Stegostoma tigrinum: one gene and its partners. The protein of the gene in region 1 interacts with the protein of each later gene in a pairwise test. Links are inferred from orthologs where the notes say so. Each region holds a gene or a part of one and is shown on either strand. Other genes may lie near its edges. The genes, in order: rassf5, mylipa and serine/threonine-protein kinase 3/4.

Region 1 (10,086 bases):
CTCACTCAGAAACTCATAACATCTTTGCCTTATCATGCCTTTCATACAGTATTGCCTCATTCTGTACTATCGTCCCTTGCCTTTTAACACAGAAAAAAAAAAGAGAGACAGTGTCTGATTCTTGCCAGCAGTGATCACTCAAGGGAGTGGACGCGTAGCTGAATTGCACCTTGCTAAGTTAAAATCATACCTAGAAAATATGCCAACAGTTTATGGAGCAAACACATTGCTTGGGTTTAAAACCATGTGTCAAAGTCTAAGGAGAGCAGTCCTCAGCTAGGCCAAGGGAGACAGCGTTCAGTCAGGGGGTTCCACCACAATCAGTCAATGCCATTATCCAATATCAATCTAGGGCTTGAACACAGTTAACTGGCCATTTGGGTGTACGTAGTCCAGGGTTCAATTTAATTACTGGATGGGGAGTGGGCCAAGGTCATTCCTGCAGGTTCAATTAAACCAATCTGGAAAAGCTGCAAAGAGATCAGTTATCAGTCAGGACTATAATTCTAAGTTGGTGAGGGGGGTGGGTCATGGGCCACATTCAGTCCTGTTCACTGACATTCAAGGCAGGTTATCGACAGTCACCACTACTTCAATGGGTTGCTTGTCTCTGTGTGTATCTCTGTCTCAGTATGAGAGTGTTTGTGTCTGTGTCTGTGTGGGCACGTGTGTCTCAATGTCAGACATCAGTGCAACATTAGGGTTGACACACCCAAAGTGCAAGCCCAGGGCTCAGGGGAAATACAAGGAGATGGAAACCTAATAAAGAGAGTTGGGTGCAAACAAAGGGAAGCCCAGACTATGTGGACAGGAGGTGCAAGAAAGAAAAGACCACCAAAACTTTTGGGGACGGTACAGTGGTCATTTAGATTACTAGGTTGAGCCTTTAACTCACTGTGAAGTGCACCCTATGTTGCTTTCCACTTGCATCCAAATTTGCCATGCACAATGGGAACGAAAAATGACTGAAATCCTAGACAACTTTTTCGGGCTTTACTTTTGAGTGATGTGGGGCCCTTCCAGGGGCAACTGGATTAATCAAACACTCACTCATTAAGAAATCTTGACAATGACTCTGCTCAATATAAATTGAACATAATCACCTCTGTAAAGCAGTAGTATCAAAGGCGATCTTAGAGTCACATGTGGGCCACAATGGACATTAAGATAATCTAAGGCCTCACAGATCAAACTATGCTGCAAAGCTGATTCCTCTTGCCTTGAGCTGCAAGTATTCACCAACATTTGAATAGGCACTGCAGCCTTCACTTTTGGTGATAAGTGCTGATAGTGGTGGTGGCCTGTAATCTAGCTGCACGTAATCTGTTACTGTATTAGTGCAGCATTACCTGTGCTGCATTCATCAGAGTAAAGGCCAACTTTGTCAAAAGTTCCACGTACTGAGTAATTCCACAAGCCTCACTATCAGAGTCCTACAAAGTCCACTGCATTGAGAGATGCAAATGCTGACTGTTCAAACTACAAAGGACCAGTTCTGTATCTAAAATTCCCCAGAAAAACACAGTCCAATGACAGCAGGTGTCATCCTCACAGTGGCAGTTGTACACTGATGATGCAGAGAAATGAGAAGAAATAAATATAATAGCAAGCCCACAACTAGCAGCAACCTTTGGAGGATGTCAAACAGTCTCCACACAAAAAAGGTGTTGCAGCAGTAAGTCCATCAGGATGCAGAGAAGTTATCAGAGATGCAAAGTCTATCATTCTCAATGCTGTTTCCTCCTGATAAGTGAGGTGCATTGATGCCAAAGACCAAGATGCCCCATCACACAACTGTGCTCTCTATTGGAGCAGGACTTTCCAACCGAAGAGACAGGTAGCCATCAGATTCCAGCAGACATCAAGGTGGCAGCTGTGCTAAATCTTGACAGACTAGTTCCAGGAAATCATTGGTGACCTGTGTGAAGTTTCTATTCCACATTCTCTGGAATTTTCAAAATAAATGATTAAATCTGAAAATCAATTTAGATTTTTTTAAAAAAACAAAGACTTGTTTTATAATTTCTCCCAGTGTCTGGTTTTACATCTTTTAATTAGAGAGAGAGATAGGAGTTTACTTTCCTCCCCAGTTGTGAGTAACCAGGTAAGCCACTTAGACTGTTAGATACATACTAAAACTATCAGGGTCCCAAAATTAATCTGAAATTGGTCAGCATTCTCAACTATCATCATTTATTACCACATATCATTAATTATTTTTTAAGAGATTGATATTCTCAGGAGGCATGTGCTTTAATTTGAAATTACCTTCTTAATAGTTACCCTGCTTCTCAGGATTAAACTGGACAGTAATTAAATGGTATTAAAATGACCTGAAATCAATCAAGTTCAAATGGAACAGATCTTGTTGTGAAATGGGCCACACCATTGCATGTACTGCATCATTCAGAAAAATTTAATATATTAGCCATACACAACAAAAAATAAAACTTCTAAAAACAGAAATGCTTACTGTTTTGGATATAATGTAAAATTGTCTAGCTACACAACCCAATCTATAGACCAAAAAGTATATTTCCCTGACTTGTATAATCAGCAAGAGAAAGGTGAGATTGTTAACTTGCTCACTGAGCTGGCTTGTCTTCATTCAGATGATTTATCACCATGCTAGGTAACATCATCAGTCAAGTCTCTGATGAAGCAATGTTGTTCTACTCCACTTGGAATTTATGCTGTCTGGTCGATTATGGTGAATAATGTCATTTTGGGTTTTGTTCTGTATGGGTTTGTATGTGGGGTCCAATTCTATAGGTTTGCTGATTACATTACACATTTGAGAATCATGCCTCTAGGAATTCCTATGTATGCCTGTTTGGTTTGAACTACTATGGTTATGTTGTCCCAGTTGAACTGATGATCTTTGTTGTCAGAGTGTAATGATATTAAGGGAAGTTTGTCATGTTGTTTTGCTGCTTGCTGATATTCATGTATGTTATAGAATTGGACTCCACATACAAACCCATACAAAACAACACCGGAAATGACTACTCGCCACAATGGGCCCAACAGGATAAATTCCAAGCAGAGTAGAAACAACATTGCTTCATCGGAGGCCTAACTGATGATGTTACCTGGCTTGGTGGCAAAATGAACGAAAATAAGCCAGCTCGGCAAGCAAGTCAACAATCTCACCCACAACCCGAACTACAACTCTTTGCTAAAACCTTAAACAAGAGAAAGTTTCTGAAGTTCTTGGAGTGAAACTATAATTTTATTCCTTACGTACTTATTTGTCCTTTAGCACAAAATCCAGTAGTATTTTGCCACACTAAATTCTTTTGATTAAACTACCGTTTCTTAAGTTTCCAACACCCTCTGCATTTCCTAGGGTCAATAGAAGAGACAGACAAACGCTCACAGGATTTTACATGGCCAGGAGGTTTCAGAAACTTGCTCTACACAGCAAGCTAGTTGTCAAGATCTGTGACAACCCCCTTAGCAATGCAAGAGCAAATGATGTTTACATAACAATTGCAACAGTAAATGTCAACAGAAATGCACAACCAAAAATTGTGACAATAGTGATATTTCTGGACAGGAATTGGAATACTCCAAAGTTTTTAATGTGGAGGCTGGGATCCCAAATGGGATGGCACGCTCAAAGGCTGCTCATCTCCTCTACCCTCTCACTTCTGCAGGTTTCCTGCCTTTCACCCCCTGCTGTCGTTGGTCTTCCCACATCCAAACTGCACTGGTGGGGTCTCCATGGGAAGAAGCTGACCATAACTGGTTTGGAATTCAAAGTCCACTGGAAAAAAAAAATCACACTATTATGCTTTTGATGGATTGGGTTTCCACAGTTTGATTTACCTTTTCAAAACCAGATGGGTTCTGTCAGCTGAACAAAGAGATCACGAATGTATTGTTACCACGCGCATATTTCACTAAAACACAGTTCCCTCCTACTCCAGATTTCTACCTGACAGGGTGAGGCGAAGCTGTTTCTGTATGGATGACTTGTGCTGAAGAAAATGAAGTCAAAATCGGAAAATCGAGGTAACTCTGATCGCACATGACTGAAATCAACAAACTGCTTCACAACCACACAAGCAGAGGCGTGGGAACAGTGTCAGTATCAATACATGCATGTTTACGGTTAGATTGCATAGATGCATAATAACAAATTTGAAGATGTCACGTGTCAGATAGTTAGTAAAGTCAATGTTTAGCAAAAATACAAACTTCAAATACGATTGTCGATTTTAGTCCAATCAGTATATTAGCCATGGAATTACAATTGCAAGGAACTCACTTTTACACCTGACAGCTTCATTGCACAGGGGGATCTCCTTGCCACAATAGTCGCACCAAGTGTACACGGAACATCGACCGAAGCAATGTCCCTCTCCCTTCTCCTCCGGGACTCTGGGATCCTCCGCTTGGAGGAAGATGGTCCGGACATCTCGGGGTCGATGCGCAGCCTGCTTCACCCTGACTCGTCGTCCCTGCGCCATCCCTCCTCCTCCGGCTCCTGCACCACCGCCAGCTCCTCCACCTGCTTTGGCCATCTTGACCAGACCGGGACTGGTCGAGTGTGCCGGCATCTCGCCGCAGTTGCCCCCGAGCAGAACGCAGCGCAGGATGAGCTCCCCGGACCGCATGTCACCGGAGAGACGTCTCGGTAGCCCCGGCCTTTGGTGGCCGGGGGTGAAATCCTCTAGCAGCTGGGCGAAGGGATACGCGGCGAAGTATGCCCTTCCCAACGGCGGTGCTGCCGCCGACTGCGAGGCTGACGCTATGGGCATGATGATAATGAATCGGCGCAACCAAACGCTCTCGCGCAGAGCTCCTGCAGCTGACAGTTGGAGGCGTTGAACGCGCACTGCTACCTTTTAAAGAGCGGCGCGTGCTTTCCCTACGTCCCTCCCCCGCGCCCTGCCTCCTCGCCACTCCGCAGTGGACAAGCCGCGAGGCCACAGTCACGGGGGAAGTTAGCTCCGTTCGGGTAAAGCACGTCGTCACTCGGGGTTTGTGTTTGAAATTCCTCCCCCACACCACTCCTCGCCCCCCCCCACCGAAAGGTCGGGTTTTTTTTCTCTCTTTGTTTTCTTGTACTTAACCCCAGATTTCAGGGAAATCTGCCTGTCAACCTTGACTCAGAATCGCACAACTCTAACGATGCGGGTGGAGGCTATTCGGGTCATCGACCGGAAAGCCATTACACTTAGAAGCAGGAGAAGGCCATTCAGCCCACCCACCTGCTTTGCCAGTCCATGAGACCATTGATGATCCTAAATTCCACTTTACTGCCTTTTCCCCATAAACCCTTATTCACCTACTGATTTAAAGTCTGATATTTAAAGTCTGATATTCTGAGCCTTCAATTTACTTAATGACACAGCCTCAACAGCCTTCTAAAATAAAAATTCTCCCTCTGTCTTAAATGAGCCAGATTCTGAGATTATGCCTCTGGTCCTAGACTCTCCAAGAAGGGGAAACAACGTCTCTGCATTTGCCAAGTCTGCTAATGATTTTACATGTTTCAGTAAGATAGCATTTCATTCTTCTTTTCTCCAGTGAATACAGGCTCACCCAGAACTGTTGGTCAAATGAGCATCAGGACTGAGCCCCATTCTACACCTTACCGCTGCCCCTTTTCTTTTAACACTGCTCATAACCACTCCAAACATTCAAAACAACACAATTCTTAAAGTGAGATTCAATTGGACAGCGGATAACAAAGTGTGGAGCTGGATGAACACAGCAGGCTAAGCAGCATCTTAGGGGCTCCTAAGATGCTGCTTGGCCTGCTGTATTCATCCAGCTCCACGCCTTGTTATCTTGGAATCTCCAGCATCTGCAGTTCCCATTATCTCCTTCAATTGGACAGCACCTTGGTTTCAGGAGGTTAACTCCCACTGAAGGACTTGAGCACAGAAATCTAAACATGGCAGTCCAATGCGATTCTAAGGAATGCTGCATTGTCATTTGGATGTAATATTAGGACCCACATGGCCTCATAGATGGACATCAAAGATCCCATGATGCTGTTTTGAAGAACAGCGCAGTTATCCCCAATTACCTGGCTAATATTTATCACTCTATGCCATAGAGATTATTTAGTTGCTATCACAATGTTGTTGATAGGAATTCTCAATGCAAAAATTGCTGCAATTTTTCCTGTAATTTTACAATAAGAATGCTTCAAAAGGACATCATTACTTGTGCTTTAAGATATATGGCTGGTGATCATGAAAAACACTGTCTATTAGAACGTCATTACTTTCTATCTGGTGTGGTGTTTCACTTCTCTCTAGTTACCTACTTTAAAACTTAATGAACATCTGAGTGGGGATTATTTGTCGACATGAGAAGCTATTTGGTATTATTCATTTTAAAATGTCCTCACTTTTTAACTTTAGTTTACTGTTTTAAAATTTCTTTTCTGCTCATTTTTTTCTTTCTGCCATTAACAGCCTAATTCACTGTGTTGCCTCAGAATAGCGAGACATAGCTATGTGTGCAATTACACACATTTTACATCAGAAAACGCTGCAATGGTGAGTTTCACAGCATGGAACATTATTAAGTGGAATTCCACCCTCACGATTATTATTTCAATATTGTGTATCTCGCATTTCAAGAACATTGATTTGATGAGGACGCCATATGTCAATATCATTTGTAAACATCATCTCCTTAATGAAAGAGAATTTGGAGTATTTCATGCCATTCTGGTCTCCAGTCTGTAGGAAGGATGTTGTGAAACTAGAAAAGGTTCAGAAAAGATATACAGCGGTGTTGCCAGGGCTGGACAGTTTGAGCTATAGGGAGGGGCTGAATAGACTGGGGCCATTTTCCCCAATGCTTTGGAGGCTGAGGGATGACCTTGTAGAGGTTAATAAAATGATAAGGGGCATGGATAGGGTAAATAAGCAAGGTATTTTCCCTTGGGTGGGTAAGTCTAAAACTAGAGGTCACATGCCTAGTGCTGGGGGAAAGATATGAAAGGGACATAAGGGGCAACGTTTTCATGCAGAGGTTGGAATGAGCTGCCAGAGGAAGTGGTGGAGGCTGGTACAATTAAACATTTAAAAAGGCATCTGGATGGGTATATGAATAGGAAGGGTTTCAAGGGATATGGGCCAAATGTTGGGAAATGGGATTAGATTTATATAGGATATCTGGTCAGCGTGGATGGACTAGACTGAAGGGTCTGCGTCTGTGCTGTATATCTGTTTGACTTTATCACTTTATAATGGAGGAATACTCATTGAGAAGGTGAGAAGAAAATTGGCTGAATTGATAGTCAAACAAAATGTAGAGATATAGAAAGAAGAATAAAAGGAGTGAAAAGGAGTAGATTTAGCAAAATTGAAATGAAAATCAAATTGCAGAAGAATAGTTCATTTTAATTCAGTTATATTTGGGAATTGCTCCAATTGTCCTTGATTGTTTTGCTGAGTGAAGAATTGTGGGTTACAAATGATAACACCCTGCTTCAAAAAAGGGGAGAAGGATAAATCATATAGGCAATCACAGACCAGATATTTTAAAGTCAATAGTAGGGAAGCTTTCAGAATCTATAATCCAAGAGAAAATTGACAGCTACTTTTTAGATTAGATTTTCTACAGTGTGGAAACAGGCCCCTTTGGCCCAACAAGTCCACACAGCCCCTTGCAGCAACCCACCCAGACTCATCCCCCTATAACCCACACACCCCTGAACACTATGGGCAACTTAGCATGGCCAATCCACCTAGCCTGCACATCTTTGGACTGGCTAAGGAAGGAAACCCACGCAGACACAGGGAGAATGTGCAAGCTCCACACAGACAGTCGCCTGAGGTTGGAATTGAACCCAGGTCCCTGGTGTTGTGAGGCTGCAGTGCTAACCACTGAGCCACCATGCCACACTGGAAAAACATCGATGAATAACAGAGAACTGGCAGGATTATTGATGGCAAAATATGTTCAATGATCAAGCTTGTATTTTTTGATGAGAGCACGGAACGGCTGAATGAAGACTGTGGAATTGTTTTTGTGTATATGAACTTTCAAACGTTGTTGAAAATGTAGTACATAAAAAGCTTCTTTGCAAAATTGAGGTTTATGGGATATCGTGGTCAGTAGCAGCATGAATGGCAAGTTTTTCTGACTGATGAAGATACATAGTGAAATTCCCAAGGCTAAGTACTAGAACCACTTCTCTTTTTGATCTATATTAATTTGTGGGAATTCAGGGCACTGATTTGATATTCACAGATGACATGGAACTTGCAGTATAGAAGATAGTAATAGGCTTAAGCAGTCTTTGATAGACTGGTGGAATGTTTAATCACAAGGCAAATGAACTAAAACAAAGTTCTGAGGAAGGGTCACTGGACACGAAACATTAATTCTGATTTTTCCTTCACAGATGCTGCCAGACCTGCTGGGCTTTTCCAGCAACTTTGTTGTTGTTCCTAATTTACAGCATCCGCAGTTTTCGGTTTTTACAAGGCAAATAAAACTCAATACAAATGAGATATAGTGCATTTGGGTAAGAAAAATTAGAAATATATTTCATGTTAAATGATAAAATATGAGGGAGTAGAGGAAGAGTTCTGGGCGTGCTCAAGCACAATTCATTACAGGTGGCAGTGCAGATGAACAAAGCAACTATTTAGGCATAAGGGATCTCTGCTTTATAAATAGAAGCATAGGTCCTAATTTTGCCCCCACATCATATGCACAGAGCTGGGAGAAATCCCACCTCTGTGAACCTGATCTTTCAAAATAGTGAGCCACGTTTCCTATTTTCAGACTGGGGTAGATATAGGTTGTGGGCTAGATTGAGAGTTGAGCCAGCAACTCTGGAAGAGCTGTGAAGGCTGCTAGTTCCCAAAGTGGGCCAGGTAGAAAGCCTGCCCTGTGTTTTCAGTGGTTGTCAGAAATTAAGTAAAATAATAAAATATAAAACATTGTTCTATCCTTCACCCCTTCCACTTCCCTCACTCCACTTCACCCGCATACTCCTGTACTTGACGATTCTCACCTAATTCCCCCTACCCACCTACTATGGTTCCTTGTACCTTCTTTGCCATGGTATACTCCTCCACCCATTCACCATGGTTCCTAATACCCTGTTGCTATGCTATACCCTTCTATCCATCCCCAATGGACTCTCAAAAAACCTTAAGCAATTTAATATCTACTTCCAACCATCATCCTTTCCACCTTTACCCTCCATATCAACAGAGCTAGTATCCATAATAACTAATGCACACAGGAGAAGAGAAAATTCCACTACTTGAAGTTTCGTTTGATAATTATACTTTATTTAAAAAAGCACTTTAACTCATAAAAATGCATTTTGACAGGTCTCGCCAGCTCATGACAGGTGAACACTTCTTCCCGTATGCCAGTTGGATAGTTGTTCACATTTCTCAACATTTCTTGACAATCCTGACATACCAACCTTCTTGACAGAACTTGCCAGGCTGATACTTTTTGACAGGTCTTGACAATTGTAAAGGGTTTTTTGCGTCTTTTATACACTATCTTCTCCACACATAATGATCCGCGGAGGCAGTTGATTATGTAAATGCACAGGTACCTCCATAAAACATGCACGTGCAAACTACAAATAGCCCTCAATCCCATCCCTGCAAATGGATGCAAGGTTTGGGAGTGGGACTTATGACTGCTGATATCTTCTGCCTTTTTCACCAGAATATTCCAAAGTATGTTTTTCTGATGTTCTGTCATGTGTGGTCAAATTACTAGTCGTATAGTTATCTCAGATGTCTTACAGGCACAGCTGACTCAGGAAGAACGATATTGAGACATTTCTCCAATCACTCTTCCAGAAGAACACTTAGATTTTACCCCGAATTTGACAAGAGAGTTTTCTTCCCTGAAATGGGAGCGATCAGCTTGCCAGCCCTTCCATGCAGACTTCTTATCTCCCTAACTGAAGACCAGATAAAAACCAAAAACTCTCCAAGCCATATTCTATTCAAAACAATCCCAACAATGGTGTACAGAAATATCAAGCAGTTATCACCAGTCATGCAATTTGTAGAAAGCCTTGTTAATAAAATCTCTTGTGGTACAGTGGTGTTGTCCCTACCTCTGGACCAT
Region 2 (10,933 bases), on another chromosome or scaffold:
CAGCTGCCACACAATTGGAAGCCAGAGCAAATGCACAGTGAACCCCGAGAGTGCTATGCCAGAAAAACTTTATCTACAAATTGCTCACTCACATTTTGTGCAAGATGACAGTTTACATACAGATAAAAGATAAAGTTCCAGGATTCCTTCAGGGTCAGAATTAAAACCAAGTTTCAAAACATTCAGGGCAGTGAATTCAGTTTGCTTTCAGCAAAAACCTTTTACATGGCTTTTGTAGCAGGTGGTCTGATTTAGAATTTTGTTTGAGGTACTGATATTGAAGTGACATTTGAGAAAGCAGGGCATTACTAAGAATTAATTTTTTTATTCAATATAGAAATTATTAGCCTGCTGGACTCTGGGTTATTCACTGTATTCTGGAATTTTTGTATTTTCTTGTTAGTCATGTAACTTAATGTTTGATATTGAATTGTACTGTTGACTGTTATGGTTTTTGTGATATCGAAACTGTGTTTCCTTTTCAGCAACTGATTTGTAAGTTTTTTTTTTCTTTTCACTGGATTGGATACACCCCATGGGTCAGGGGTTTTTTTTGGCAGACTAATTTAAACTTGACATCAAAAACCAGTCGATTTCAGGAACGCATTTGCACTCACACCTCTGTCCAATGTTTCTTCATTTATCTGATGAAATTCTAGAATAAGTCAGGCACCTGATCAATTTCAAGTTCTTATCGGAAGGTGACAAAATCTAGATGGTCCAGTTGCATGATCCCTACTTCAACATTAGCACATTATGAATAGTTACTGATCAAGGGAGCACATAGACCAAGTGGTGCTCAAACATCCAAAAAAAATTTTTAAAAAAAAGGACAAAATTAATCAGTACAAAGTTTTCACTTAAAATACAGTCAAGACAAGAACAATGGAACAGCTGTAAAATATACTATCAGTCGGACACCTTAGCTGGCAGCCAAGACTCAATGGATAGGACTCTTGTCTTAGACTCAGAACAGGCTGGACTCAAAATAGTCAAGTATGTGGATGTTAAAAACTTCCACCATTATTACAAATCTCTTTAATGCCCTGGCTAATATTTAGCTCACAGCAAACACAGATCCGCCATACAACTGTTTGTAGGATGACTAAAAAAAGTCCTGAAAGACATGACATAAATGCAAGCCTCTTTGTTGTGTTGGGAGCTGAAGAAAATAGTCAGTGTGGCGATGAGACAGTATGTTAAACTGAACTGCCATCAAGAACTGAATGCAAGATATGATTCGTTGAAAAAAAGTTTTGATCTCTGCTTGATTTGGACACAGTACAAGTGAGGTGAGCTACTCCCACCATATCTAGTAATTTTGCTGACAACTAGCTAATTCAACAGCAAAAAAGTTACAGACTAGATAACATACTTGCTGTTTGTTGATTTCAGGGAGAAACTGTTTTGGTTTGGCCGGGGACAAAAAGAAAATTGCCTGCAGGCTATATTCAATCATCCTGCAATTTTAGTTCTGAAACCAGCAGAAAAAAGAACAAATATCTTGAAGCAGAAGCTACCAATCTTGACATCAAAACCTACTTATTTTCTTGCTGTACTATGGCCCAGTGGCAACACCATGGGTGGCTTTACACCAGGGAGTAAACAGTCAGCAAAGGTAACAAACAGTCAACTCACTCAAAATGAAACAAAAGTAATTTTTTTGTTTCACATTTTGTTAGTTAGACTTAAAGTTTCTGAATATATTCAAATTCATTGGTGGAAGAGCCAAGATCTGACATTTAAACTATTCGGGTTGGGATCAAATAAAATCACCACAAGACATTAAAAACACAGCCAAGCAATAAAACCATGGACATAACACCCGAAGTTTATGCAAAGCTGGTGGCGGTTTTGCTTCTCTCAATACTCAATTGAGAACTTATTACAAGAGACAGCATTTAATAGAGCTTGCACTGGGGAATAGTGGGGCAGAGCTGGACCACAGTCGTACCAAAACCAGCAATGACAGAATTGTCCTCCCACATGCCCAAAGCTAAACAAGAAAAAAAAAGTACACTTTTCTGCATTAGGTTAAAAACAATGCCCTGTCAATTCAGTCAAACCAAAGCCTTTGTAGATCAATGGTAATTCATACAAGCTTTAAGAAATAAACCATTCTGTCTGGTTTCAATTCTTGCACTAAACACTACACAACACCACTTTTGGAAAATTATTTCAAGCTTTCACTCGTTTACCACTATTCTTCAACTAAAAAAAACTCCATTCCCCAAGAATCTCTTTCAAAGAATTTTTCGTGAACTAAGGTGGATGTCCGAATCTGACATTTACCTCAAATTAGTTAAAACAGAATCAAAATTGCCGATACCACACCGACACGCATATCAGTTCAGCTAAACCCGAGATTTAGAATAAATTCAACGTAATGAGCTCGGAGCGCTAGGACCCAGTAGTGCCTGATTACAGTTAGAACGCTAGTTTCTGCAACTATGACCCATAATAACACTGCAATGGCGAGGTTACTATCGGTCATCTGAAAGTACAAGAACAGGCTAGCAAGGAATCATTAAGTTTGTTCAAGTCGATACAACGAGATTTTAAAAAAAACACATGCGAAACGCAAAGTAAGAAGATTAAGTATCAATATTTCATTTAAGCCAACAAAAAGCTCCAATTTATTAAGAAACACACCTAGTTTGCTCCTGAAGTAAGAGATGAGGTTCCACAAAAAATTTAACTCGGAGTTTGAATCTATAAGGAGGCATCCCTTCGATCTGTTGAGAGATTCTGTTCCTCAGGTTCAACCACAGTGTCTCCCCCTTGTTCGCAGAGTACTGCAGACCCAAATAGTCATCCTCTATAATGCCGAGCCTGTGGCAGACCTGGGCAAGAGAAAGGAGAGACCCCCTTACACTATTTGAAAAAAAAAGGGATGATTGAATTACCGTCCCATCTTCCAAAATACACAGACTAATCCTCCCTACCTCTAAAATTAAAAAGAAAAATGTAAACTCCCAAATCAGAACGATAAATTCCCTCCGCCGCAACGAGTGAGTGGGAACCCGAGGCAAAACAAAGCAGAGGGTACTACAATCTGCTCTTAAGAAAGTTAACTGGTTGTAAACATGGGGAGGAAGGGCAGATTTAAAAACAATATCTACTTTAGAAAAGAACGTAACAATTCAAATGGGCAGTTCGACTTTGAGAAAAAATCCAAAGGACGTTACATCGGGACCAAGCTCTAATAATCAACGTGGGTCTTTTGATCAGCGATAAATTGTGGGGTATTCGCGGGAGAGGACGGACAGGAATGTGGAGTCAAGGCCAAAAACGAAACCTTCCCGAATGGCGGAGATGGAAACCGAATGGTCTACTCCTGCTCCTGATGATCGTGTGGCACAGAGTAAATCCGGGGAAGCGATCCGGGCCTTACCTGGTTCAGACAGTCCTCGCCGTTCGCCTTCGGATCCACCTCCACTTCCATCACCACCGAGTCGGGCCTGGTCACATAGCACAGCATGGCGATAGCAGGACTCCCAGGGATCCGGATCACTGTCCTTTTCGATACTGCGGATAGCACCCCCACTCCCTCCCCTCAAACTGGCATCGAGACTCAGACGGGCTTGACCAGCCTGGGCCGCCGGTACCAAGCACTGTGCCCCCTTCACATACAGCTGTCCAGCTCCAGGCCTTGACCCGGTGGAAACCCCCGGCTTTCGATTCCGGGACCTAGGAGCAGATAGTACCCTCATATACAGCCCGCCGTCCAGGTTCTAGACGCTCGGTTCTAGTTTCTTCCCACAAATACCCGGCTTGACGTCAGCTAGACAGCAGAAAACCAATTGGAGAAAAGCATTACTGCTCTCTGACCAATAGGAAAACACGTAGATTGAAGGGAAAAACCGAAAAAAGCTGGATCGAGTCTCTTCAAATGAGATCACCGGCTCTCAGTGAGAATTTTATCGCTGAGATCATCAGTGTTCTCAGTGAGATCTGCCACGGTGGGATTACAGGCTCTTTCCGTGGAATCTCTAATCAAATAAATCAGTCAGGATGGTGAGAGACAATAAAGTGTGGAGCTGGATGAACACAGCAGGCCAAGCAGCGTCTTAGGAACACAAAATCTGACGTTTCGGGCCTAGACCCTTCATCAGAAAAGTCAGGATAGCGAGTGGCTTGGAAGGAAACTGGTGTTACACAATGCTGCCACTGAGCATCAGTAGTGGACGGAGAATACATCATAGTCATACAGCATGGAAGGAGACCCTTCAGTCCAAACTAAACATTATCCCAAACCACCCCACCAACCTCCGCATACAACGCATCATCCTCCAACACTTCTGCCATGTACAATGCAACCCCACCACTAAAGACATTTTCCTATCCCCACCCTTGCCTGCCTTCTAGAGAGACCACTCTCTCCGCGACTCCCTTGTCCACTCCACACTCCTCTCCAACCCCACCACACCTGGCACTTTCCCCTGCAACCGCAAGAAGTGTTACACTTGCCCCCACACCTCCTCACTCAGCCCTATCCCAGGCACCAAGATGACTTTCCACATCAAGCAGATGTTCACCTGCACATCCGCCAATGTGGTACACTGCATCCGCTGTACTCGTTGTGGCTACCTCTATATTGGGGAAACCAAGTGGAGGCTTGGGGACCGCTTTGCAGAACATCTACGCTTGGTTCGCAATAAACAACTGCACCTCCCAATGGCGAACCATTTTAACTCTCCCATTCCTTAGATGACATGTCCATCCGGGGCCTCCTGCAGTGCCATAATGATGCCACCCGAAGGTTGCAGTAACAGCAACTCATATTCCGCTTGGGAACCCTGTAGCCCAATGGTAGCAATGTGGATTTCACAAGCTTCAAAATCTCCCCTCCCCCCACTGCATACCAAAACCAGCCCAACTCGTCCCCGCCTCTCTAACCTGTTCTTCTTCTCACCTATCCCCTCCTCCAACTTCAAGCCACACCTCCATCTCCTACCTACTAACCTCATCCCGCCCCCTTGACCTGTCCATCCTCCCAGGACTGACCTATCCCCTCCCTACTTCCCCACCTATACTCTCCTCTCCACCGATCTTCTCCTCTATCCATCCTCGGTCCGCCTCCCCCCCCCTCCCTATTTATTTAAGAATCCTCTCCCCATCCCCCTTTTCTGATGAAGGGACTAGGCCCGAAACATCAGCTTTTGTGCTCCTAAGATGCTGCTTGCCTGGCCTGCTGTGTTCATCCAGCTCCACACTTTATTATCCCAAACTAAACCACTCCCACATGCCTGCGCTTGGCACATAACCCTTTCAACATTTCTTATTTGTGTACTTCTCAAAAGGTCTTTAAAACATTGCAGCTATACTTGCATCCACCATTTCCTCTGGAAATTTATTCCAAAAAAAAGACCCTTATATCTCTTTCAAATCTTTCTCCTGTCACCTCAAAAATATGCCCACTCTACTTGAAATCCTTCACCCCATGGAAAAGACACTCGTCATTCACCCTACCTAAACATCTCATGATTTTATAAATCTCCATAAGGTCACTCCTCAACCTCATACACTCCACTGTGTCCCAGGCTGTCCAGCCTCTCCAATATAACTCAAACACTCCATTCCCAGCAACATACTTATAAATCTTTCTGAATCCTGTCCAGTTTAATAATATCCTTCCTATAATAGGACAACCAGAACTAGACATTGTATTCCAAGAAGAGGCTTCACCAACGTAGCACAACTCATATACTCAATGATCTGAGCAATGAAGACAAGCATGCTAAACACTTTCTTAATCACCCTGACTAGATGTAATGCAAACTTCAAACAACCTGAACGTCGAGGTCTCTCTGTTCTACAACACTACTAAAGGACCTACTTTTTATTGTACACGTCCTGCCCTTGTTTGTTTTACCAAATTGTAATACCTCACATTTATCCAAATTAAACTCCATCTGTCACTCATCAGCCCATTGACCCAATTGATCAAGGTCTCTTTGTAATCTTAGATAACCTTCTTCACAGTCTGTTATACCACCAATTCTGGTATCATTCGCAAAATGACTAACCTTGCCTTCAAATTTTCACTTAAATCACTTATATAAATGACAAACAGAAGGGGATCCAGACCGATCCCGGTAGAGCACCACTGGTCACAGGACTACAGTCCAAAAAACAACCCTCCACCATCATAAGATAATAAAGTGTGAAGCTGGATGAACACAGCAGGCCAAGCAGCTTGACCCAATTTTGTTCGGCCATTCAGTAAGTTCACCCTGAATCCCATATGATGTAAGTTTACTAAATACTCTACCATGCAGGATCTTGTCAAAGGTTTTACTTAAATCCAATATCTGAAATATAAACAATGTCTGCTACTCTGCCCTCATCAATCTCTTTGACTACTTCCTCAAAAACCTCAGTTTGGACGGTGTCAAGATTCTCAAGCTTTGTTGGAGCTGCAGTCATCCAGGTAGGTGAGAGTATTCCATCATATGCTTGACTTGTGCCTTGTAGGTGGTGGACAGGTTTCAGGGAGTCAGTGGTAAGTTACTCACTGCTTCTCATAGCATAAGAGACTCTCAACAGTGCAGAAAGAGGCCATTTGGCCCATTGAGTTTACACTGCCCTCCAAAGAGCATCTCACCTAGCCTTAACCCCTGGCCTTATCCCTGTAACCCTGCATTTAACATGCCTTATCGACCTAGCCTATACCTCCCTGGACACTATAGGCCAATTTAGCATGGCCAGTCCACCTAACCTGCATATCTTCCAACCTGTTCTTGTAGCCACAATATTTATGTGGCTGGTCCAGTTCAGTTTCTGATCAATGGTAACGCCCAGATTGTTGGTAGTGGGGGATTCAGTGATAATAACGTCATTTAATGTCAAGGGATGACAGTTAGATTTTCTCTAGTTGGAGTCGATCAGTGCCTGATCATTTGTATGGCACAAATGTTACTTGTCACTTGTCACCCAAGCCTGCATATTGTCCACGTCTTACTGCATTCAGGCACGGACTGCTTCAGTATCTAAGGAGTCATGAATGGTGCATAACATTATCCAAACATGAACAAGTATCCCCTCTTTCTCCAGTTAATGTAGTTAGTGTTCCCCTTCCTGGAACCATTCTTGTGAATCTTTTCTGTTCCATTCATAATGCCTTCTCAGCCTTCCTAAAATGTGCTACCCAGAACCGGACCCAACACTCCAGTTGAAACTAAAATAATGTTTTATACAGTTTCAACATAATTAACTTGTTTTACATTCTATGGCCCTATTGACAAAATTTGTAATGCCATAAGCCTCAATAACAATGTCCTCAACTTGCTCCGCTACCTTCTCTGATTTATGCACATTTACACCTGGTTCCCTCTGCCTCTCTGAGTAAAACACAAAAAACAGCCTTTGCTCTATTTGGACCATGTTGCCTGTCTCTAAGAGCAACATAAGGGAAGATGGCTGTGGTTATACAAAATAGGAGCAGAAATAGGCTATCTTTTCCCTCAGAGATAGTAAGAATTGCCGATGCTAGAGTCAGATATAACACAGCGTGGAGCTGGAGGAACACAGCAGGCCAGGCAGTATCAGAGGAGCAGGAAAGCTGACGTTTTGGGGTCCCAACCTGAAACGTCAGCTTTTCTGCTCCTCTGATGCTGCCTGGCCTGCTGTGTTCCTCTAGCTCCACACTGTGTTGTACCTTTTCTCTCAATCTGTTCTGCCACTCAGTAAGATTATGGCTGATCTGATTACTTTACATTCCCACCTACCTCCCAATAACCTTTTGCTCTTTTGTTACAGTAATGACTTATCTTTACTCAAAGTCAGAACTGTGGATGTTCGCTGATGATTACACAATACTCAGCACCATTTACATCTTCTCAGATAGTTAAGGAGTTGTTAAAGTGTTAAATAAAGGTGCACATTTACAACAACATCTGAACAACATCCACATATTGATTGTAATGAGGTCAGCCAGTTGAATTTCATAGAATCTTTGTTTGGACCACATTATCAGCCCCAATCAGGGAACCTTGGCTGATAGGTAAGAACAGGAGTGTCAGACATCATGTACGCTCTGAGAGTTGAATCAGTGTTAAGGATTCTCCACGTGCAACTAAAGGGTGATTTGGTGGCAGGATACTGGCCTTTATGGAGTTATAGATATTTCTCCTATAACACAATAGTTACGTTCTTGTGCAACTTTGTGCTATAGAAAATCGCCGTAGAAAATAGTTATTTGGAAATTGCTATACTGTACAGAAGAAAGTTCACATTATCTAAACAGCGTCCAGTATTCATCAATTGCACTACACCCAATTTGCGTTAATGAAACACAGAAATACCTGTATTTCATTCCAGGGTTGGGCTAAAAAGTAGCATGTAACATTTACCAGTTGATGATATTCTTCAATGAGAGATTCTGGACATTTTCCCTTTATGTTCAATTCCATTACCATCACTGAATTCCCCCACTATCAACATCCAAAGGAGTTCTGTTGACCAGAAACTGAACTGGAACAGCTATAATAAGTACTGTAGCTACACGAGCAAGTCAGAAGCTAGGAAATCTATGGTAAGTGTGTCATCTCTTGACTGCTTGAAGCCTGTTCATCATCTCCAAAGCACAAATCAGGCTTGTGATGCACTGCTCTTCAATTGCCCAGGTCATGGCAGTTCCAATAACACTAAAGAAACTCAAACCCATCCAGGCCAAAACAGCTTGCTTTATTGGCACTCTATTTAGCAGATTCAACATCCACCCCACACCTTTAATGCTCAGTGGCACATCCAAGTCTAGATCATTACGAGAAATGAGAAGCACCAATCCTGACAATAACCCCTGAAGAATCCCATGACAACCTTCCTCAATCCAAATGATTCACTATTATTCTCCATTTCTTATAACTCAGCCAACTTTGTATCCATGTTAATACTTGAAACATTAACTGTCTCCACACCTTCTGCAAGAATTTCTTTAGCATTCTGTGTTTCTTTCAGATTTCCAGTATCTGCAGTATTTTACTTTTATTAGCATGTCCTCTTGTTGGATATTCAACATACTTCTGTATAAAACCATCTCTAACACACTCCTGAAATTTGTCCTCCACAGCTTTAGTATTCAGCTGGTTTACCAAGCTGCATACAGATTGAAGTTACCAATGATAACTGTGTTGCCTATGCTACCCGCTTCTCTGCTGTTGACTGAGTTTAAACAAGCTCATCAGGAAAGTGGGATGTTTGATGTTTAGGAAAGTCATACAGCACAGAAACAGACTCTTTGTTACAACTCATCCACACTGATCAGATATCCTAAACTGATCTTATCCCATTTGCCAGCATTTCACCAATATCCCTCTAAATCCTTCTTATTTACATACTCATCCAGATCCTTTTTAAACATTGTAATTGCTACACCACTAATTCCTCGGTTAATACGATGCCCCCATCTAATCATTGTGGTTTGGTGGCCTATAAATAATTCCCATCAAGATCTGCTGCTCTCTCTTTTTCCCTTGCTCTGCCCCAAATAGTTTCCACACACTTGTTCTTCCAATCTGAGATTCTCCGGTACTAACATACTGATTCCCCTGGTTGACAATCAGGTGGCCCAAATTTCCTGTACATTGCTGATTAATCTTGACGTTCTGTTTTGATTTGGAAGTGTTGTGATTTAATGATTGCAATTATTATTTATGACAAATGTATGGGAAAAGACGTTCCTACCACTAGCTGCCACGAGTGCCCAGTATTGTTGCTGAAAATTCCTTTAACATAACCCACAATAGGGAAGCTGAGATTCTCAGGGTAGGGGTATCCAAAACTGGAGGGCACAGGTTTAAGGTGAGAGGGGAACGATTTAAAAGGGACCTGAGCAGCACCTCTTTTTACACAGAGGGTAGTGCGTGCATGGAACAAGCTGCCAGAGGAGCTAATGGAGGCAGATACAATTACAATGTTTAAAAGATGTCTGGATGGGTGCATAAATAGGAAGGATTTAGAGGGATATGGGCCAAAAGCTGGCAAATGGGACAGATTAGTTTAAGATATCTGGTCATTGCATATGAGTTGGACCAAAGGGACTGCCGTATGACTTTCCTAACTGTCAAACACCCCATTTTCCTGATGAGCTTGGTTAAACTCAGCCCAACAGCACAAGCAAATCTCCCTGAATATGTAATCACTAGTTCCATTAAGGTATAATACATCTGGATTGTACAAGTCCCATCTGCCCCAGACCAGCCATAATTCCTCAGAAATCTGATGCCCTCCCATTTACAACAGTTCAATCTCATATTCAGAGATCATGTGATCTGCAGACGCTGGAGAATCCAAGATAACAAAGTGTGAAGCTGGATGAACACAGCAGGCCAAGCAGCATCTCAGGAGCTCAAAAGCTTTTGTGCTCCTGAGATGCTGCTTGGCCTGCTGTGTTCACCCAGCTTCACACTTTGTTATCTCAATCACATATTCAATTGGTTAGTCCTTCTATTCTCATGCTCACTAGCATGTGGCAATGTGGATAATCCAGAGATTAGTACTTTTGAGGTCCCACTTTATAAATTCCTTCCTAATTCCCTGAGTCATAGTCATATATATACAGCACAGAAAATGGCCTCTTGGCCCATCACATCTGCACTAGTCCAAAACAACCACCTAACAATTCTAATCCCATTTTCCAGCACTTGGACATGGGTTTGTATGCTTTTGCACCACAAGTGCACACCTAAATACTTACTAAATGTTATGAGGGTTTCTGCCTGTTCCATCCTTACAGGCACAGAAATTCCTCTCATCTGCTGGGTGAAAAGACCTTTTCTCACGTCTCCTCTAAACCTTCTGCTCCTTACCTTAAATCCATGCCTTTTGTAATTGAACCCTCCATCAAGGGGAAAGTTTCTTCCTGTCAAGTCTATTTATACCCTCATTATTTATGCATCCATAGCTTGTCCCCTTTCAATCTCTTCTGCCC
Region 3 (9,993 bases), on another chromosome or scaffold:
ATCTTCTCAAATTTTTTTTGGGAATTCCATGTACACAACATTTGCCCCCGCACTTTAAAAGATTCCACACATGGTTTCTTGCTATAAGCAAGCATTTTCTTCCTTCCAAGTGACAACCCCACACTTACATCAATCCTCTCTTACTTTAAAGAATTCAAACAAGTTACTCAAACACATTTTTAAGTCAGAAATGGAATAAGATGTGCTACAGTGCTCATTGCCACAGAAAATAAAAACTTTAGGGAACAGTGGACATGGCAGGGGCAGATGTAGTTTTGTTGTTAAGTTTTCTTTGACCATCTGAATTTGGATCTGGTACAGTGCTGATCAGGAGCTGTCTAACCAGTTCAATTTTTGTTTCAAAGATGTGAGGCAATTATTTCCTTTTGCAGGTTTAGCCACTTGTGGAATCAGTTGCCACGTTTTGTTGAATATGAATTCACAAGGAGCATTCGAAAGGGAAGTGAATAAATCCCTTGAATTTTGGGGGATGTTTCATCCAGGGTCTGTGTTCTATCGAAATTTATCAAGTGTCCTTCGTGAGTCAGATCGGAATTCACCCGAAATTCCTTCTCCTGGAGATTTCTTGGTCAGAGAAGGATGAAGGGGGATTTTTGTTTGCAGCCATGTGGCAGTATCAGATGAGACAGTGCATAATCTTAACTAAAGCCAAACACTCTGGCTGCTGAAAATCTGTAACAGAAAGAGAAAGTGCTGAAGTACTCAGTAGGTCTGGCAGCAACTGCAGAGAGAGACATGATTCAAGTCAAATGATTCTCTTCTTGGGAACTGGGTTCTGAAAAACAGAAACAGTTAACTGCTTCTATCTCCGCATACGCTGTCAAACTTGCTGAGGTTCTCCAGCACCTTCTGTGCACATTTTTCTTTGACAACACAGGCCATACAGAACTAAACGTGATGTTACTGTCATTCTACTAGAATCATATTTTAGCCTAGGAGGCCACTCAGCCCATTCAGTCCCCATCTGTCGTGTCGAGGAACAATCATTACCCATTTTCAGAGAGAAGGGGGCAAGAAGAAAGAAGGGGGGGAGGGGAGAATGGGGGGGGAGAATGGAGGGGGGGGGAAGGGGAGGGGGGGAAGGGGAGGGGGGGAAGGGGAGGGGGGGGAAGGGGAGGGGGGGAAGGGGAGGGGGGGGAAGGGGGGAGAATGGGGGGGGGAGAATGGGAGGGGGAGAATGGGAGGGGGAGAATGGGAGGGGGAGAATGGGAGGGGGAGAATGGGAGGGGGAGAATGGAGGGGGGGGAAGGGGAGGAAAGGGGGGGAAAGGGGGGGGAAAGGGGGGGGAAAGGGGAGGAAAGGGGAGGAAAGGGGGGGGGAAGGGGGGGAAAGGGGGGGGAAGGGGGGGGGAAAGGGGGGGGGAAAGGGGGGGGGAAGGGGGGGGGAAAGGGGGGGGGAGGGGGGGGAAGTGGGTGGGGGAGGGGGGGGAAGTGGGGGGGAGTGGGGGAAAGTGGGGGGGGGGAGTGGGGGAAAGTGGGGGGGGGAGTGGGGGGAAGTGGGGGGGGAGTGGGGGGAAGTGGGGGGAAGTGGGGGGAAGTGGGGGGGGGAGTGGGTGGAAGTGGGGGGGGGAGTGGGTGGAAGTGGGGGGGGGAGTGGGTGGAAGTGGGGGGGGAGTGGGTGGAAGTGGGGGGGGGAGTGGGTGGAAGTGGGGGGGGGAAGTGGGGGGAAGTGGGGGGGGGAGTGGGGGGAAGTGGGGGGGGGAGTGGGGGGAAGTGGGGGGGGGAGTGGGGGAAGTGGGGGGGGAAGTGGGGGGGGAAGTGGGGGGGGAAGTGGGGGGGGAAGTGGGGGGGGAAGTGGGGGGGGAAGTGGGGGGGGAAGTGGGGGGGGAGGGGAGTGGGGGGGAGTGGGGGGGGAAGTGGGGGGGGAGTGGGGGGGGGAAGTGGGGGGGGGAAGTGGGGGGGGGAAGTGGGGGGGGAAGTGGGGGGGGAAGTGGGGGGGGGGAGTGGGGGGGGAGTGGGGGGGGGGAGTGGGGGGGGAGTGGGGGGGGGAGTGGGGGGGGGAGTGGGGGGGGGAGTGGGGGGGGAGTGGGGGGGGGGAAGTGGGGGGGGGAAGTGGGGGGGGGAGTGGGGGGGGGGGAGTGGGGGGGGGGAGTGGGGGGGGAAGTGGGGGGGGGGAGTGGGGGGGGGAGTGGGGGGGGGGAGTGGGGGGGGAGTGGGGGTGGGGGGGGAAGTGGGGGTGGGGGGGGAAGTGGGGGTGGGGGGGGGGGAGTAGGGGTGGGGGGGGAGTAGGGGTGGGGGGGGGAAGTGGGGGTGGGGGGGGGGAAGTGGGGGTGGGGGGGGAGGTGGGGGTGGGGGGGGAAGTGGGGGTGGGGGGGGAAGTGGGGGTGGGGGGGGAAGTGGGGGTGGGGGGGGGAAGTGGGGGTGGGGGGGGGAAAAGTGGGGGGGGGGGGAAGTGGGGGTGGGGGGGGGAAAGTGGGGGGGAGAAGTGGGGGGGAGAAGTGGGGGGGAGAAGTGGGGGGGGAAGTGGGGGGGGAAGTGGGGGGGGGAAGTGGGGGGGGAAGTGGGGGGGGAAGTGGGGGGGGAAGTGGGGGGGGGAAGTGGGGGGGGGAGTGGGGGGGGAGTGGGGGTGGGGGGGGGAAGTGGGGGGGAAGTGGGGGTGGGGGGGGAAGTGGGGGTTGGGGGGGAAGTGGGGGTTGGGGGGGAAGTGGGGGTTGGGGGGGTGGGGGGTGGGGGGGGAAGTGGGGGGGGAAGTGGGAGTGAGGGGGGAAGTGGGGGTGGGGGGGGAGTGGGGGTGGGGGGGGAGTGGGGGTGGGGGGGGAGTGGGGGTGGGGGGAGAAGTGGGGGGGGAAGTGGGGGGGGAAGTGGGGGGGGGGAAGTGGGGGGGGAAGTGGGGGGGGAAGTGGGGGGGGGAAGTGGGGGGGGGAAGTGGGGGGGGGAAGTGGGGGGGGGAAGTGGGGGGGAAGTGGGGGGGGGAAGTGGGGGGGGGGAAGTGGGGGGGGAAGTGGGGGGGAAGTGGGGGGGAAGTGGGGGGGGGAAGTGGGGGGGAAGTGGTGGGGGGGGAAGTGGGGGGGGAAGTGGGGGGGGAAGTGGGGGTGGGGGGGGGGAGTGGGGGGTGGGGGGTGGGGGTGGGGGTGGGGGGGGGAGTGGGGGTGGGGGGGGGAGTGGGGTGGAGTGGGGGTGGGGGGGGGAGTGGGGGTGGAGTGGGGGTGGGGGGGGGAGTGGGGGTGGGGGGGAAGTGGGGGTGGGGGGGAAGTGGTGGGGGGTGGGGGGGGGAAGTGGGGGGGGTGGGGTGGGAGTTGGGGGGTAGTGGGGGTGGGGGTGGGGGGGGAAGTGGGGGGTGGGGGTGGGGGGGGAAGTGGGGGGGGGAAGTGGGGGGGGAAGTGGGGGGGGAAGTGGGGGTGGGGGGGGGGAGTGGGGGTGGGGGGGGGAGTGGGGGGTGGGGGGGGGGAAGTGGGGGTGGGGGGGGGAGTGGGGGTGGGGGGGGAAGTGGGGGGGGGGAGTGGGGAGTGGGGGTGGGGGGGGGAGTGGGGGGGGGAGTGGGGGGGGGGAGTGGGGGGGGGAGTGGGGGGGGGAGAGTGGGGGTGGGGGGGGAGTGGGGGGGGAGAGTGGGGGGGGGAGTGGGGGGGGGGGGAGTGGGGGGGGGGAGAGTGGGGGGGGAGAGTGGGGGGGGAGGAGTGGGGGGGGAGAGTGGGGGGGGGGGGAGTGGGGGGGGGAGTGGGGGGGGGAGTGGGGGGGGGGGGGAGTGGGGGGGGGAGTGGGGGGGGGAGTGGGGGGGGGAGTGGGGGGGGGAGTGGGGGTGGGGGGGGAGGGGGGGAGTGGGGGGGGGAGTGGGGGGAGTGGGGGTGGGAGTGGGGGGGAGTGGGGGTGGGAGTGGGGGGAGTGGGGGTGGGAGTGGGGGGGTGGGGGTGGGAGTGGGGGGGTGGGGGTGGGAGTGGGGGGGTGGGGGTGGGAGTGGGGGGGGTGGGGGGGGGAGTGGGGGAGTGGGGGGGTGGGGGGGAGTGGGGGGGTGGGGGGGGGAAGAGGGGGTGGGGGGGAGAGAGGGGGTGGGGGGGGAAGAGGGGGTGGGGGAAGAGGGGGTTGGGGGGGGAAGAGGGGGTGGGGGGGGAAGAGGGGGTGGGGGGGAAGAGGGGGTGGGGGGGGAAGAGGGGGTGGGGGGGAAGAGGGGGAAGTGGGGGTGGGGTGGGGGGGGAAGTGGGGGTGGGGTGGGGGGGGAAGTGGGGGTGGGGTGGGGGGGGAAGTGGGGGGGAAGTGGGGGTGGGGTGGGGGGGTGGGGGGGGGAAGTGGGGGTGGGAAGTGGGGGTGGGAAGTGGGGGTGGGAAGTGGGGGTGGGGTGGGGGGGGGGGAAGTGGGGGTGGGGTGGGGGGGGGGAAGTGGGGGTGGGGGGGGAAGTGGGGGTGGGGGGGGAAGTGGGGGTGGGGGGGGAAGTGGGGGTGGGGGGGGAAGTGGGGGTGGGGGGGGGAGTGGGGGGGAAGTGGGGGTGGGGGGGGGAGTGGGGGGGGGAGTGGGGGTGGGGGGGGGAGTGGGGGTGGGGGTGGGGGGGGGGAGTGGGGGTGGGGGTGGGGGGGGGAGTGGGGGTGGGGGGGGGGAGTGGGGGTGGGGGAGGGGAGTGGGGGTGGGGGGGGGGGAGTGGGGGTGGGGGGGGGAGTGGGGGTGGGGGGGGGAGAAGAGATGGGGGGGGAAGAGGAGGGGGAGGAAAAGAAGGGGGGGGAATGGGGGGGTGGGGAAAGAAGTCGGAGGGGAGCAGGGTAGTTGTCCTTAAGTCGGGGGAACGAAATTGACGGCCCTCAAGGGGGTTATTTCTGCCCTGACAACCACAGCCCTCGCTCCTCTCGCCATTTTTCCCGTACCCATTCCCCAGCATCCCGAACATCCTCCTCCCGCTCTCCCTCTTTGGGTTCTTACCGCCGCGGATGCCTCCGCTGGACCTCCTCCATGTCTCACCGCTCCTATACTGTTCACTTCCGCCTCGAGCCGGAAATCCCCTTCCCGGAAACTCTCCAAGTGACGCATTTGCGGGGCGGAAGCTACGTCGATCCACGTCCAGTGGGGGCGGACGTTGCGACAGACGCCACTAGCGGGGCGGAAGTGGTTCCTTCCATCGTGTGGGGCGGAAATATAGTTGGCTCTGCAATTGCAACGGGATGGAAGTGCATGGCAGTAAAGTTCGCAACCAGATTTTGTTCTTTTCTTTCCCTTAACTTTCTCTTTCTATTGATTGCACCCACCCTTTCAGCTTCATGGCAGGCTGATGGAGAAAGTGAAGTCACATGGGGTCCAGGGTGTGCTAGTTAGATGGATAAAAAACTGGCTGGGCAACAGGAGACAGAGGGTAGTAGTAGAAGGGAGTTTCTCAAATTGGAGGCCTGTGACCAGTGGTGTTCCACAGGGATCTGTGCTGGCACCACTGTTGTTTGTGATATATGTAAATGATTTGGAGGAAGGTGTAGGTGGTCTGATCAGCAGGTTTGCTGATGACACTAAGATTGGTGGAGTAGCAGATCGTGAAGGGGACTGTCAGAGATTACAGCAGAATATAGATAGACTGGAGAGTTGGGCAGATAAATGGCAGATGGGAGTTCAATCCGGGCAAATGCGAGGTGATGCATTTTGGAAGATCAAATTCAAGGGCGAACTATACAGTAAATGGAAAAGTCCTGGGGATAATTGATGAACAGAGAGATCTGGGTGTTCAGGTCCATTGTTTCCTGAAGGTGACAACGCAGGTCAACAGGGTGGTCAAGAAGGCATATGGCATGCTTTCCTTCATTGGACGGGGTATTAAGTACAACAGTTGGCAGGTCACGTTGCAGTTGTATAGGACTTTGGTTCGACCACATTTGGAATACTGTGTACAGTTCTGGTCGCCACATTACCAAAAGGATGTGGATGCTTTGGAGAGGGTGCAGAGGAGGTGCACCAGGATGTTGCCTGGTATGGAGGGTGCTAGCTATGAAGAGAGGTTGAATAGATTAGGATTATTTTCATTAGAAGGACGGAGATTGAGGGGGACCTGATTGAGGTCTACAAAATCATGAGGAGTATGGACAGGGTGGATAGCAAGAAGCTTTTTCCCAGAGTGGGGGACTGCATTACTAGGGGTCATGAGTTCAAATTGAGGGGAGGAAAGTTTCGGGGAGATATGCGTGGAAAGTTCTTTACACAGAGGGTGATGGGCGCCTGGAACACTTTGCCAGCGGAGGTGGTAGTCGCAGACACGTTAGCGTCTTTTAAGATATATTTGGACAGGTACATGGATGGGCAGGGAGCAAATGGACACAGACCGTTAGAAAATAGATGACAGGCTAGACAGAGGATCTTGATCGGCACAGGCTTGGAGGGCCAAAGGGCCTGTTCCTGTGCTGTAGGTTTCTTTGTTTCAGTTCTCCTCCATTGTTTTCATTCCCATACGGATGCAGCAGATACACCAGCATCAAGTGGTTGGACCGAATGGCCTTTTCCTCTATTTGTCTACCATCGTGCATTGCTCTGGCCTCAGTCCGTGTCGGTGCATTGACCACATCCCTCTTCCAGCACTGCACCTCAACAACGAATTATAGAATGGACTGGAGATGATACGAACTGCAGATGCTGGAGAATCCGAGATAACAAGGTGTGGAGCCAGATGAACACAACAGGCCAAGCAGCATCTCAAGAGCAGGAAAGCTTTCCTGCTCCTGAGATGCTGCTTGGCCTGCTGTGTTCATCCGGCTCCACACCTTGTTATCAATAGAATGGGACCAACAGCATTTGGCCATTACTGCACTCAGAACGTTAATTCTATTTCTTACTCCACAGATGCTGCTGAGTTTCTCCATCACTTTGTTTTTATTTCAGAGTTCCAGCATCTGCAGTATTTTACGTTCATTTGACTCATATAGTCTTCCCCATTAAGGATCAATTCCCCAAAGAGTACCATCTCTTTACAAATTCCTGCAGCCCTGTACATTTTTCCTTTTCAGTCAATGATCCCTCCTAAGTGTTTCCACTGAACTGACACCTGTCACCAAAAAATGTGAAACAGCGCATTCCATCCACAGTGTGGAATTTTTTTCTTCTTGTCACTACTACTTCTTTGGTCAATTATCTATGCAAGCGTCAACAATTTATCCCTGTCTACTCCAAACCCTCATGACTGAACATCTTTATCAAATTCTTCTCTAAGTGGAGAACTGTTCTGACCTGTCCAAAATCTGGAATTTTAGTCGATTCTCACTTTGCAAAAGTCAGAAAAAAGTCTCAGAAAGTAGCCACTCAGATCATCTTATTTATACTGTATTTTTGAATTGCATCACTTCCTGCTCTCGCCCTCATTGTCCTAGTTACTCCCTCTCTCAACTTTTTATCCAATTATTTTCCAAAAGCAACCACTGAATTTGTTTCATTCAAGCTTTCGGATAGGGAGACCTCAGTTGCATTGCTTTGTGGTACATTGGCCTTTGGTATATGTCTAGATCCCCCTCGTCCTGTTACCAAAAGTATAATATCCATCAATGCAGTTATAATCCAAAAGATTAGGAATTTGCTATCTTATCAGTCTGATTGGATAATGCTAAGGTGCTTAAAAGACTATGTAATATAATGATTTATCTTCCAGAAAAGTATAAAATAATTTACAAAGCATTATGCAATCATAAATTGACTTGTGTGAATAGGTCAGAGAGAATATTTTTGGCCATTCATGAACTTAAGGTAGATGATGCATCACACATACATATAGAAAATATTAATCTACTCAATTCCAGAGAAATGAGCTAAAGCAGGGAAAAGCTTATATTCACAATGGACAATGACATTTTGAACCAAATCATCTTCTCTTATTCTAGGCTCCAACTCATCAGAAGAAATAGTTTGTCTCTTCCTGATATATATTAATCACCCAGAATTTGATGTACAGGCACAATTTCAAAATTTGCAAATGGTATAAAACTTAGATCTGTCAAGGGGTCAGTTTAAGATTTAAATAGGACATTGACAAGTAGGTGTATGTGTGGTTTCATGACAATGGATCAGAAAGCTGAATTACTTATGGATATATTGAACTTTTAGACAAGTCGTTTTTTCAGGCAAAAACTACAGCCAGTCTTAACTTACAAATGTAACATTTAAGAATGAAATTCACTGGGAAACAAAAAATGTCCTCTGTGAGCACCTCCAATGAAGCGTCAGAGGAGAGACTTCAAAAAAAGGAACAAGATAATGACTTGAAAGGTGATAATTGGATTATGCTGAAAGGACCAAAGGTTTTATCAGCGTAAAGAGGCAGTGACATTTTAAAGCGTGTCAGGTGTGAAACCTTGATTAGAATCAGTGTTTTAGTTTGGAGTCAAACTGGTTTAATTTCTAAAGTAGGAGTTTTTAAAATGCCACATTCACATTGCATAGGCTGTCAGCCAGACACAGAAAGAGAGGGGGAAGAGAGAGAGGTATTCCTGCTCACTGAGCTGGTAAGTTTTTTCTATCCCACTTAATGTTTCTGTATCTCAGTTTGCTGGAGTGGATGGCATCACTTCTGGATTTGCTTTGTAGAGATTGGTATTTGAGGGTCCAGCTCTAAATGTTTGTTAACGGAATTCCAGTTTGAGTGCTAGGCGTCCAGGATTCAAGCACACTAACAAGTTTCAATTCTAATTTGCCACTGTGGGATTTGCGCACTCCGCATTCCCAATTCCATCACCACTACAGCCTAGAAATGTAATCACACATGAAAGCAAGGGACTTGAACATCACAAAATAAAAAAAACAAACAATGAATGCCTAGTTGGTCATGACAAAAGTGTTTTATTCTAAGCAGTATAAGAATCACTTGCATAGAAGGAAATATACATCAAATTTACTAAATGGCATCAGTTGCTCTCCACATTGAATTTAACTTTGTTTTGAGGGATCCATTTGAAAGACAAGACTTTAATGACAAATCTCACACAGAAAACAGTGAAATTGGGAAATAAAGTTCAGATATTTCATAAAAGCAGCATGTCATACACCACCTAAATAGTTTTAAAGAAATACATGACATAAGTTTGAATTGTGCGTATTGTTGAGTCCCACAGACGTGGCACACAAAAAGTAAAAATTCTAAAGGTAAAAACTAGAGATGCAGAGATTCTTGCCTGATTTACTAATTCTATTCCCAGGGCATGACCCAGTTCCAACCAGACTGGTTAGGCTCCAACGAATCGCAAACAAAAGCTGTTTTGAGTCCAGGTGATTTTTCTTTTGTTTAAATTTCCTGGATTCATTTTAAAATGTTTATCAAGTAGCAGGTTATTACATTGTAATGTTCATATAGCTCCTGTTTAAGGACATTAACAGACAGGTAAATTAAATATGGTCTCACTTTGCCCTGTCAACTTACAACTCCTAATGCAACTGGGAGAACACAATGTTTGCCAAAACCTACAGCTGTAGTGTATTTTCACATCCAGCTCATCAAATGAGTCACTGCTCCATTTTCAAACTTTAAAAAATTATCAGATTTGTGTGTACTTGTTCCTCTAATTCAGAAGGCCATACCAGTGGTTTCCACGCAAAGGTGATATAGAGATTGTCACTAAGTGCAGACTAGCCTCAGGGAGATATTGAGTGGGTACATAGTATTCCTCTTTAGGGCATTTTTGTTCCAGCCTCCCAGATCAATCTCAAGAAATAACTGCTCTCCCATTCTCACCTACTTACCCTATCATGAGATAGAGTTTTTGCCGCTTTTTTGCAATACAGAGAACCAAACTGGCCATTTTCTATAGGCCTGCGATGACTGAGAGGATTTAAGCAGTAAAATTTTTAAGGAGTCATGTTTTAAAAAAAGAGGAATATGAACACACCCACATATTTTCAAATTTGCCCATGCCTTCAGCAGCAAATTAATAGAATCGTGCAGACTGAGGAAAAAGATGATCATCAAGACTAGATAAAAACACTTCCTTTCAGAGTTTTTTAAAATTTAAAGTCAAGGGCTCATTGAATGGGTTGTAGACTTTGGTGTCAGAAAATTCAACTGAAGACTACAAACACAGTTGGGTCGGATGGTACATCT

Evidence for each region.
Region 2: the proteins of rassf5 (region 1) and mylipa interact in binary tests that used the Homo sapiens proteins (3 or more experiments, as listed by UniProt). The two-hybrid records come from large-scale screens. The link is inferred for Stegostoma tigrinum from reciprocal best matches to the Homo sapiens genes RASSF5 and MYLIP.
Region 3: the proteins of rassf5 (region 1) and serine/threonine-protein kinase 3/4 interact in binary tests that used the Homo sapiens proteins (3 or more experiments, as listed by UniProt). The link is inferred for Stegostoma tigrinum from reciprocal best matches to the Homo sapiens genes RASSF5 and STK4.

What each region holds. Positions count from the first base shown.
Region 1 is NC_081374.1:17,294,310-17,304,395, reverse strand, and holds the start of rassf5 (ras association domain-containing protein 5), read right to left. Parts: upstream 4,806-10,086; 5' UTR 4,767-4,805; coding exon 4,274-4,766; intron 1-4,273. UniProt on the Homo sapiens protein: Potential tumor suppressor. Seems to be involved in lymphocyte adhesion by linking RAP1A activation upon T-cell receptor or chemokine stimulation to integrin activation.
Region 2 is NC_081355.1:37,863,779-37,874,711, reverse strand, and holds the start of mylipa (E3 ubiquitin-protein ligase MYLIP-A), read right to left. Parts: upstream 3,922-10,933; 5' UTR 3,482-3,921; coding exon 3,395-3,481; intron 2,844-3,394; coding exon 2,653-2,843; intron 1-2,652. UniProt on the Homo sapiens protein: E3 ubiquitin-protein ligase that mediates ubiquitination and subsequent proteasomal degradation of myosin regulatory light chain (MRLC), LDLR, VLDLR and LRP8. Activity depends on E2 enzymes of the UBE2D family.
Region 3 is NC_081372.1:9,268,824-9,278,816, forward strand, and holds the start of serine/threonine-protein kinase 3/4, read right to left. Parts: upstream 4,943-9,993; 5' UTR 4,895-4,942; coding exon 4,863-4,894; intron 1-4,862. UniProt on the Homo sapiens protein: Stress-activated, pro-apoptotic kinase which, following caspase-cleavage, enters the nucleus and induces chromatin condensation followed by internucleosomal DNA fragmentation.